Canis lupus familiaris: one gene and its partners. The protein of the gene in region 1 purifies or fractionates together with the protein of each later gene. This does not show direct contact. Links are inferred from orthologs where the notes say so. Each region holds a gene or a part of one and is shown in the gene's direction. Other genes may lie near its edges. The genes, in order: PPP2R1A, MTCL1 and CEP350.

Evidence for each region.
Region 2: the proteins of PPP2R1A (region 1) and MTCL1 purify together in Homo sapiens (co-immunoprecipitation; 3 studies listed by BioGRID and IntAct, with this or other methods). This does not show direct contact. The link is inferred for Canis lupus familiaris from reciprocal best matches to the Homo sapiens genes PPP2R1A and MTCL1.
Region 3: the proteins of PPP2R1A (region 1) and CEP350 purify together in Homo sapiens (affinity purification with mass spectrometry; 4 studies listed by BioGRID and IntAct, with this or other methods). This does not show direct contact. The link is inferred for Canis lupus familiaris from reciprocal best matches to the Homo sapiens genes PPP2R1A and CEP350.

Annotation. Positions count from the first base shown.
Region 1 is NC_049222.1:105,616,275-105,619,920, reverse strand, and holds part of PPP2R1A (serine/threonine-protein phosphatase 2A 65 kDa regulatory subunit A alpha isoform), read left to right. Parts: intron 1-1,074; coding exon 1,075-1,175; intron 1,176-3,646. UniProt on the Homo sapiens protein: The PR65 subunit of protein phosphatase 2A serves as a scaffolding molecule to coordinate the assembly of the catalytic subunit and a variable regulatory B subunit.
Region 2 is NC_049228.1:74,915,725-74,919,470, forward strand, and holds the start of MTCL1 (microtubule cross-linking factor 1), read left to right. Parts: upstream 1-1,283; coding exon 1,284-2,345; intron 2,346-3,746. UniProt on the Homo sapiens protein: Microtubule-associated factor involved in the late phase of epithelial polarization and microtubule dynamics regulation.
Region 3 is NC_049228.1:13,444,836-13,448,481, forward strand, and holds part of CEP350 (centrosome-associated protein 350), read left to right. Parts: coding exon 1-259; intron 260-1,154; coding exon 1,155-1,276; intron 1,277-3,646. UniProt on the Homo sapiens protein: Plays an essential role in centriole growth by stabilizing a procentriolar seed composed of at least, SASS6 and CPAP. Required for anchoring microtubules to the centrosomes and for the integrity of the microtubule network.

The DNA of each region.
Region 1 (3,646 bases):
GGCCCCATGCTGAGCTCCTCATAGAAAACATCACTTCACTTTGGTTTCACACAGCTCTGTTGGGATGTAGGGTGAGAAAACAGACTCACAGGTGAAGTGAATGGCCATACACTCAGCCAAGAGAGAGCAGAGAACCACCCCAAGATGAGGAAGATGATGACAGCCCCAAGAGCTTAGAGGGTGGTGGTGAGGAAGCGACTCAGAGCTTGAACGTGTGAATAGAAGTAGCATTGACCAGAGCATGGTCACTTGGCATTCCAGCTGCAGGGGGGCCTGGGATGCCTGGCTGGGTTGCTGTATGCTTGGCTTAATCTCAGAAAGTTGAAATGCCAGCATAGAGGCCAGGGATGCTAGCGTCTTCTGCCATAGCAGTCAGCAGTTCCTACTGGAAGCATCTTCTGCCATATGGGTCAGCAGTTGAAAAAGGCCTTTGGGTTGAGCATTAGGACTCAGCAGCTCTGTCTTTACATAGTCATCCGTTCTTTTAGCACACCTGGACTGAACTACTGTGCTCATCTCTAGCAGAAACTGGGGTACAGAGAAGAGCCAGTCCTGGACTCCAAATATAAGGACTCTCATAAAGGTGACTTGGGGTTGAGGGGAGTGTAGAGAAAGGATGTGCTCTGGTCTGGTCAGGAAATCTGAACTGAGTCTAGAAGGATGGAGAATTTCTCAGGCTAAAGAGAAAAATTAATTCTTGGCATAGAGGGCAGTGCTGAAGAAAGAAGCTGAACCAAAGCGAAAAGCCCCCATTGACCAGGCTCTGTGCCTATATGCATGGTTTTGTGTGCTCCTCTGTAATTCTCCCTCAGAGAAGTGCGTGCAGGTGCAGAAGTGGGTTTGCAGACTGGTTTCACTCCCCCAGTGTCCCTCACCTAGTGAAGGGCAGAAGGCGGCCTTTGGTGCTCTGTTCCTGACCCAAGTCTGCATCTCCGATCTGTGTACCAGCTCAAGTAGAGGGTGGAGAGACTGAGTGCTTACAGAATGGAGCCTGCTTGCTCCCAGCTTGGGTTACCCAGAATCTTGGGTCAGCTTTGGGGTGGGGCTATAACAGAGTCTGTCTTGGTTCCCCAGATACCATCTACGATGAGGATGAGGTCCTCTTGGCCCTGGCGGAACAGCTGGGAACCTTCACCACGCTGGTGGGAGGCCCCGAGTACGTCCACTGCCTGCTGGTGAGTCTGGGAGGCAGGGAGGTCCCCTTGCCCACCCGTTTGGGGGTCACCTTCAAGGAACAGGCAAGCCTTGGACATTCTCTTTAATCCAGCAGATTAGTAGTGGCATTCATATAGCAATACCAAAGATGTACTTGTTTACCTTCCTGTTAGCTGGGTATGCCTGACCAGTGCCAGGCCCTACCTGGCACTGTACATATAGGGCTCTGGGTGTGGAAGCCATCTGAGTACTACCACTTCTTTGCTGTGTGACTTGTAAGAGTTACTTAACCTCTCTGTTAAACTTTACTCATCCGTAAAATGGGAGTCATTAAAACATCTTTATAATTAATTTAAGCCCCCCCAAAAAATTAATTTAAGCCGTTGGCACATGGCAAGTACCATCAGGTGTTAGCTGCCAGTGTCATTAAGCTGTATGTTTTGAAGTCATGTCCACCCTTTGGGGTAGAGACATTTCTATTTTGTAGATGAGCCACTGGGCATCTGAGAGGTTAAGTGTCTTGGTCAAGGCCTCACAGTCAGTAGCAGAGTTGGGATTCTAGGTGCCTGCCTATGCACCCCTGTGCTTGGTGATGGCTAGGGACACAAAGATGGGTCAGATATTAATAGTAACTGCTATTTGTGAGAAGAGAAAGGAGAATTCCATTGTCACCAGGGAAAGAGTCCAGTCCTGTGATCTGGGAAGGAGAAGCCTCAGGGCTTTCCCAGTCCCCTGGTTTTCATTGTTCCTCAGAGCCCGCGGCCACTGCTACAACCTGCTTCCCTCCCCTCACCCCTGCCCCAATAATTCTGTATGTCATGGTTTCTAAAGATACAGCTTTATATTTGACATCTGCGCTTAATGATGCCTTAACACTTTTCATTAGCAGCCTTCTTCCTCCTTGCATTGTGTGAAATAATGGCACTTCTTAAAATTGGAGGAATTTGGGGTTTGAGCAGATATGGTAACTTTTCTTCCAAGCAGTATTAGGTCTGAAGAAATTGGATAATTGTCATTAAATTCTAGTCTGTCAGCTTTCATCTGTGTGTGCGTGTATAATTGATGTGTATGTATACGTAGACAATTGTATGCAAATGTGATCATTTCCTACATTTTACACAGATTAGGGCTGTTTAACACAAGGAACATGATGAGGTCTGGGGACCAGCCTGAAAAGGGTCCTGTGTGTCCCATGAAACTTTCTGCAAGCCCTAACATTTATCAGTTTTTCTGAGAGAATTTGTGGCTTTCAGCAGCACCTCAAAGGACTTGGGAACAGAAAACGCTGATCCTGTAGCTTTAACAAGGGTCCCTTGGGCCCTCAGGTGGTATAAGACTCAGGCTTGCTGGGGAGCAGGACTGGAACCCTGGAGTCCTTCCCTTACAAGGTCAGGGTCATCCCACACTTACTTTGAGGGAGAGTCACAAGGCCTCTGGGGCTGGTGTTCATGATGTTCACAACAGCTGGCAGACACATCCTGAGGGCCCTGGTCCAGGGAGCACTGGAAACCCAGAGGCCAGGTCCCAGGTCCGAATGCTAGTGCTCCTTGGTACCTGTAGGTACCTTCCACACAGTCACCTGTCATGTCCCTCAGTGACCCTGTGATATACATACTCGTACCAGCCCCAGTTCACAGATGAGGAAACAGGCTCAAGGTCTGGTTTACGAGAATTGACTGAGCTGAGAAGAGACCGTCAGGATTTGAACCCAGTCCCCTGCCTCTTAACCACTGCTGCTCCTTTCTACTACCCTCCCATGGGGCTCTCAGTTGCTCTACAGGCTGATTAGAGCTGGATAAGAGAGAAGCTGGGGGACCTTAGAACCTGGAGGAAGCCCTTCACCTGTTTCAGATGGGATGGGGGAGCTGTCAGTGAAGGCTTCCTGGAGGAGGTGGCAGTGGATCTGGATTTTGACAAAGAGAAATGGAAAATGGCTACTGTGCAGTTTGTTCATTCCACAAACATGAGTACCAGCTATGGGCCTTGGGAACCCAGAGGTGTGTCAGAGCCAATCCCAGCCCTTGTTCTCAGTAGAGGTGAAATGGAGTTAATTTCATAGGGATCCATGTAGCTACAGCACAAGGATTGATTCTGTATCCACAACTTTTAACCCTTTTGGAATTGTGGATCCCTTTGAATATCTGATGAAAACTCTAGAGCCTCTCCTAAAAGTACAGTGATTTTAGGAGGTTCACACCTCCCCCCTCCCCTGTATCTTCTCTGGGTTTGAGAACTCTACCCTCTCTCCTTCATAGAGAGGCCCCCCAGTATAGCTTTTCATTGTGGGAAAGCAGTACTTGAAGTTTCCTAGACCTGCATCTTTCTGGGCCCCACACTGATTTTTTTTATTTGTGCTGAGCCTGGTCTTCTGGGTGATCCTGTTGTGGTCCAGACCTCGCTGTGAGAACCATAGTCTATAGCAACCCACTAGGGCAGACACCATCATGTGACCTAAACACTGCTTGGCTTTGGTCCCCAGGCCTCTATTATG
Region 2 (3,746 bases), on another chromosome or scaffold:
AAGGCCAAGCGTGGAGCACGGCTGGGCCTTACTCCTCTGCGTATTCCCCAACACCCGAAGCCTGCACTCGAGGATACCCGAACAGTGCTTCGCAGCGTGCACGGCGTTTCTCACATCTGCCCAGTTAATCCTCCCAACGCTCGGGTGGCCCGCAGTATGTTTAAATTACGCAGGCAACGGGACCGAGGCTTGGAAGGGTCGGGGGCCCGCGCTGGGCCCTCGGGGGCCGCTCCGGGACTCGCACGCGGGGCTCCGCGAGGGGACGGCACGCAGGGCTGGGCGCGCCTCGGGCTCGGGGTGCAGCCGACCCCGCCCCGGCCGGGCTGCAGCCCCCGCCTCACCGCCCCGGCCGCGTCCTCATCCTTCGAGAAGAGAAGACGGCGACTCCAAGTGGGGCGCGTCACGAGGGCTACAGGACACAATGCTCCCCGCCGCAGCCACGGACGCGAGTCCCCTCGCGGACCCCGAGCCCGGCGAGCTGCCGCCCCCGTTTCCGCAGCGGCGCCTCCTTCCCCGAGCTCCGGAGGCCGCGGGGCTGCCCGTCCTGACGTGGCCGCCGCCTCGGGCACCAGCCGACCCCTCACGGAGCGCTGGGCCTGCGGACACGGCGGCGGGAAGGCGGCGGCCCGCGGGGGGCGGTGGCACCTCCCGCGCGCACCCGGGGGGCCGCTCCCGTCTCGCCCGCCCGCTGCACCCCGGCGGCGGCCTCCCCTCCGCGGCCCTGCGCGCCGGCCCCGGAGCCTCGGAGGCCGCGAGGGCGCCCGCGCCAAGGCCCGGGAGCGCAGGCCCCGCCCCACCGCGGCGCCGGCGGCGGGAGGCGGGAGGCGGGAGGCGGGAGGCGGGGCGCGGGGCGCGGGAGGCGGGAGCGGGAGCGGGCGCGGGAGGCGGGGAGCGCGCGTGCAGTTCCTCTCCGCGCGGGCGGGGAGCTGGGCGGCCGTGGGCGGGGAGCGCGCCGCCGGCGGCCGGTGCCGGTGTCTGGGGATGCGAGCGGCGGGGAGCCGCGCCGCTGACCGGGTGAAGGCGAGCGGCGGTGACCTCAGCGAGGGGAGAGCCGGGCGGCGGCGGCGGCGGCGGCGGCGGCGGCCAGCCCCGCGGGGATCCGGGGCGCCGGGGGTGCGCGGGGCACGGCGGCGGCGCGGGAGCGCGGGGCGCAGACCGGGCGGGGCCGGGGGCCGGTGATGAGCGGGGCGCGCGGGGAGGCTGCACGCCGCCGCCGACGCCGCCGCCGCCGCCGCCCCGAGCATCTGCCCGCACAGCTGCCGCCCGCGGCCCGGGACCCGGCCATGGAGACGCTGAACGGCCTCGCGGGCGGGGGCGCCCCGGACGCGAAGCCGCTGCCGCCGGGGCAGCACCACCGCCACCACCACCTCCACCCGCTGGCCGAGCGTCGGCGGCTGCACCGCGCGCCCTCGCCCGCCAGACCCTTCCTCAAGGACCTGCACGGCCGCACCCCCGCGCCCGGCCCGGCCCCGGCCGCCCCCTCCTCGGGTCGAGCCCCGGCGCCCGCCGCCCCGCGCGCGCCCAGCCTCGCGGGCAAAGCACCGCCCTCGCCGGGCACCCCGGCCGCGCCCGGCCGCCTCTCTCGGCGCAGCGGCGGCGCCCCGGGCGCGAAGGACAAGCCGCCGCCGGGCGCCGGGGCCAGGGCAGCGGGCGGCGCCAAGGCCGCCCCGGGCCTCAGGAGGGCGGCGCGCACGGCGCCCGCGGAGCCGCTGCCCCGGGCGGGGAGGCCGCCGCCGCCGCCGCCGCCGCCCCCCGGGACCGAGCCGCCGCCCGCCGCCGCCAAGGGCCGCAGAGCCCGACGCGGCCCCGGCGCGCCCCCCGCCCGGGCCCCCGGGCCCCCGGGCCCCGCCGCCGCGATCCCCGCCGTGATCCTCGCCGTGACCTCCTCGGCCGGCCCCCCGGCTCCCGGGTCGCGCATCAGCCACACCGACAGCAGCTCCGACCTCTCCGACTGCCCCTCCGAGCCCCTGTCCGACGAGCAGCGCCTGCCCCCCGCCGCCAGTAGCGACGCCGAGTCCGGCACCGGCTCCAGCGACCGGGAACCGCCGCGGGGAGCCCCCACGACGAACCCCGCGGCGCCGCCCGAGCCCCCCGCGCTCCTCGCCGCGCCCCCCGCCCCCGGCGCCTGCCTCGGGGGTCGCAGCAGCCCGGCCGCGGGCCCCGCGGGGGCCCCGGGATCGGCTGTGGCCGAGGATGCCGGGGGGCGCGCGCCGCTCGAGCCAACGGGCCCCGGGACCCCCAAGGATCCCGGCCCGGGCGAGCAGACGCGGCTGGTGCCGGCGGCGGTGGAGGAGGAGCTGCTGCGGGAGATGGAGGAGCTGCGCTCCGAGAACGACTATCTCAAGGTGAGCGGCAGCGGCCCCGCCGCGGGTGTCCGGAGGCGACCCCCGAGGCCTGGGCGCCGGCGGGGACCCGCGAGCCCGGCCTGCCCGGCCCCGGCGCGACGCGCACGCTCTCCCCCGTCTGCCCTTCACTCTCCCGCCCCCGCGCACATGGGCTTCGGGAACTTAGAGCTAAAACTTCTGGAAGGAGCAGCGAGACCTGTGGGTCTGGCCAGGTTCTCCCCCCACTTGGCTTCTCTTGTTTCTGGAGTCTTGCTGCTGCCTGCTGACGCCTTTGCCCCTGTAGACGTGCTGGGGGAGAGGGTCACAGCTGACACCCCCACCCCCTCGCCTCTGGGGTCGGGCCGCCCCTAGCCGAGGAGCTCTGGTCCGGGCCTAGTGCAGGTGTGTGCAGTTCGCAGCCTGCTCTGGCGAGGCGGCGGATGTGCCAGATGCTTTTCCTGCGGTTAAAGAAGTGAGGCCCCCTCTGCTTCTCTAGCTGGGGCGGGGGAGGGGGAGCTCCCTGTTTTTGGCGATAAAACTTAAGTTCAGGGCTCCCATGAGTGTGTGTCCCGGGTTGAGGGGCAAGGGGTTGGCTGGTTGTCCAGCCAGTCGCCAGTCCTTTGTGGGCGACCATAAAAGCCCGTTTTTCGTGTCAGAAGAGGCCACTTGATTGCCCCTGCACGCCAGCACTTTCGAGGGAATTGCAACCTCTGCTGCCTTTGTCTGAGTCTTTTTCATGAGGTCTTGCTATTAAGGGCCTCTTGGTCTTGTTAGCTTTGGGGCACTCAATCCTACTTCCATTTACTCCTCCCAGGAGGAGGGCAGCTTGGGCCTGCCTGCAGAACAGAGGACTTAGTGTTGGGGTCTCGACAATTTGAAGTGACTCGAGACAAAATAAGGGGGATTGGTTTGGGGGCAATTACTTTATTATAGTCTTCAAGTTAGTAAATAACTGCAGCGGTACAAATCTTTTCATGCTTCTGTTAAGACTCTAATATGGATCTCCTCCTAAACCAGTGGATGGCGCTCCTCTATCTGGGTTATCTGATTCGTACTTTTTCTAAGCAAATGTTGGACCTACCCAAATGAGGCCCAGTTTTTGGCCAGCGGGACCAAGGGCATGGGCTTTTAAGGTGGTTAAGTGTGCCGTTCAAGCTGACATTAGAATAGGCTCGCTGCTGAGTTTTCTAAACCGAAATCTTGAATCAGGAGCTGTTCTCCCCAACTGACAGCCCAGTAGCTGTTTTGCCTGCAAAGAGGTAGCAGTGAGGCAGAGGAGAGGTGAGAACATAGTAGGAGTTTGGAGTAAGATGTTTCAAGTATTACATTTGCCTGTGTCACCCACTCTTGTGTAATAGACACCAGAGTGATTTTCAGAGGTGCTGAAGAGAAAGGGCAGTGAAGTAGTATGTGACTCCATCT
Region 3 (3,646 bases), on another chromosome or scaffold:
GTACATCGTTAGACAGCAGGAGGAAAGGAAGAGGAAGCAAAATGAAGAGAAAAAGGCTCAAAAGGAGGCCACTGAGCAGAAGAACAAACGATTACAGGAGCTCTATCGGAAACAGAAAGAAGCCTTTACTAAAGTAAAAAATGTGCCTCCCTCTGAGCCATCAGTAACTAGGCGACTGCAAGACACTTACTCCAAACTGCTCCTAGAAAAGACCTTGCTCGAAGAGCCGCCACATCACCAAGCTACCCAGGAAACACAGGTAACAGTAGTGTCAGAGATGCAGAGGGAAGTCATTTGTGATTAGAAAAGGCTTATTTGCCATTTCATTACCCTCATTCCTGATGTTCAGACAATATTTGTAATAATGTTGACCTTTTCATGAAATTTATTGTATGTGGAGAATACTTTGATAAACATAATTGAAAACAAGTGCTCAGCATTTCCCAGAATGACTGTTACTGATCTCTGTTCCTCTCATCATTGCTATTGTTATATCCTTGCCTAGTTTTCACTGTATTACTAAGCAAAAAGATTGTTAATAAAAGCCTAGTTTTGTGATCTGTGCTGAAATTAGAGATCCTAATGTTATTGGTAATTTTTTGAGTATTGCTGCTGTTTTTAAAAATAACATTGAGTGTACCACAGACTGTTTTAAAGGCTTTAAATTTTCAATAAATCCACATGGCCTGGGGCAGCCCGGGTGGCTCAGCGGTTTAGCGCTGCCCTCAGTCCAGGGCATGATCCTGGACACCTGGGATTGAGTCCCGCATTGGGCTCCCTGGGTGGAGCCTGCTTCTCCCTCTGCCTGGGTCTCTGCCTCTCTCTCTCTCTCTCTCATAAATTAAAAAAAAAAAAAAAAAAAAAAAGTCCTCATGGCCCTGAGAAGGTAAATGCTACTAGTATTTCTAGGTGAAAAAACTGAGGTTTAGAAGAGTATTATTTCCTTTAGATTATGCAGTTAGTATTAGGTGCCTTTCCTGAATATCAGATGTAATTTTGCTGTTAATTGTAGTGGCTGCGTAAGACAAACTAAATATGAACTGATTTTATTTAAGAGAAAAAGCCCCCACATTTCACTTAATATTTGTCTTATGTACTCCCTGAGTATATGTTTGTGATTGGAGTCACGTAATTTTGATATCCTTTTCTCTTAGACTAAACCCGGGTATCAGCCTTCTGGAGAATCTGACAAAGAAAACAAAGTACAGGAACGTCCCCTAAGTGCATCTTCCAGTAGTGACATGTCTCTGTCAGAGCCTCCACAGCCTCTTGCAAGGTAAGAAGGGGAGAATGAAAGATGATTAAGGTTCTCTTCCCCCCCCCCAAAAAAAAAGGTTCTCTTTTCCCGTGAAATTTACTATAGTGGTTCATGCTTAATGAATTTTGTTGACCTTGTACATGAGCAAGAAGTTTATTTTTTTTTATTTATTTTTTATTGGTGTTCAATTTACCAACATACAGAATAACCCCCAGTGCCCGTCACCCATTCACTCCCACCCCCCACCCTCCTCCCCTTCTACCACCCCTAGTTCGTTTCCCAGAGTTAGCAGTCTTTACGTTCTGTCTCCCTTTCTGATATTTCCCACACATTTCTTCTCCCTTCCCTTATATTCCCTTTCACTATTATTTATATTCCCCAAATGAATGAGAACATATAATGTTTGTCCTTCTCCGACTGACTTACTTCACTGAGCAAGAAGTTTATTTAGAAATTGGTTAATATCTTCTGGTGGATATTTAAGCATGGTGTACATCTATACTTATTGCATACCCTTTTACCTGTCTTTTTATATCCAGTGTAAATGTAAGTCCTTGCAGAGATCCTACAGTTGGAAGCACTGTTACTTTCTCTGAACTAAACACACAATAAAACTTTATTGGTTGAAAATCACAGTGAAATTAATATTTTAAAGTATTTGTGGTGAATAATTTTCAAAAGGTATATCTGTATTACTAATCCGAATTTCTTCATGTGACTCATTCCAGTTTATTATTGTAACTTTGATATTTGGATATGCGTGTGAACGTATGAACAAGGGCTAGATTGCTGATTGGGGACTTTTTTACCTTAAGTTCTGTCCTTTCCTTTCCTTTTCCTTTCCTTTTCCTTTTCCTTTCTTTTTCCTTTCCCTTTCCTTTCCCTTTCGTTTTCCTTTCCTTTTCCTTTCCCTTTCCTTTCCTTTCCTTTCCTTTCCTTTCCTTTCCTTTCCTTTTCCTTTTCCTTTTCCTTTTCCTTTTCCTTTTCCTTTTCCTTTGAGAGAGAGTGGAAGAGAACACAAGTAGGCAGACCAGTAGGCAGAGGGAGCGGGAGAAGCAGGCTGACCACTGAGCAGGGAGCCCAATGTGGGGCTCCTGGGATCACGACCTGAGCTGAAGACAGACACTCAACTGACTGAGCCACCAAAGCACCCCATACTTTTAAGTTTTCTTAAGAAAATCTTTTTCTTGCTGTAATATATTGTTTGCAATGAAGTAAAAGTAAATTATGCATGGAATTTGAGGTGGTTTTGAGATGATATGGTTTTAAATACTTTAACCATTTTAGAAAGAGAAAGATTTTGAAACCCTTCTTTGAGAACACACAAATAAAAAATCACTTCCCAATTATGGGTTAATACACATGGTCCTTTCACCCCATTCTTCCTCCTTCGAAAGAATAGGAATACTGATAAAGTTAGCTAACATTTATTGAGTACTTGTAGTTTCCAGGCACTGATCGAAGTACTTTGCATTTGTATCTTATTTAATTCTTGTAATTTCTTGAGTTAGGTGCTCCAGTCATTCCCATTTTACAGAAAAGACAATTGAGGCCTAGAATTTAACTTTCTCAAATGTCCAAACATTAGTGGTGGAGAGGGATTTGAACTTAAGCAGTCTGATTCCAGAAACCTGTGCTTTTAATCACTCTACACAGTGCCTCCCAATAAGTTTCATATGATTTATTTAAGGTTGTAAATACCTTTCAAATTTCAAGCATAAATAAACTTAAAAAATTTTTTGAACTTGAATACCTTTAGGTAGGTATACTCTGTAGTTCATCTCAGTCCCATTATTATTGTCAGACATACTCTGCTGGCTTCCTGTCTTTCGTTTTACCTTTCCCTGAATTTCCTTCTAATTCTAAATAAATTATCCAGTGTTAAAAACAAACCGAATGTAAGACAGATCTATTATTACTACCTTACACATGTTCCTTTCCTTTTTTTTTTTTTTTTTTTTTACCATCAGGTTTCTGCAACAACTTGTGATATATAATCTGTTGCCTCCACTTCCCCTCTATCCATTTCTTAGGTTCCCCATTTCTGTTAGTAGTTTCAGCATATCTCAGTTACTTTATGCTTGGAAGCATGACATTTCTTTTCCTTGCCCTTCATGACCCCTATTCTTCCTTAGGTACCTGGGAAACTCCAAATTACATATCTGATCTTGAAGACCTTGAAGATCTAGCTCAAAAGCCATTTTCCTTGGCTAGCAGACTTTATTGTTTTCTATCCACACTCTGTTGAACTTTATATATATTATATTAGTATGTATGACATTGTATTTTAATTCTTTTTTTAAATTCTTTATTAGTCTCTTATCCCTGCTAGATCTTGAGAAACTAAAGAGTAAAGAATAAGTTTTAACTGGATTAAATTTTTGTCTG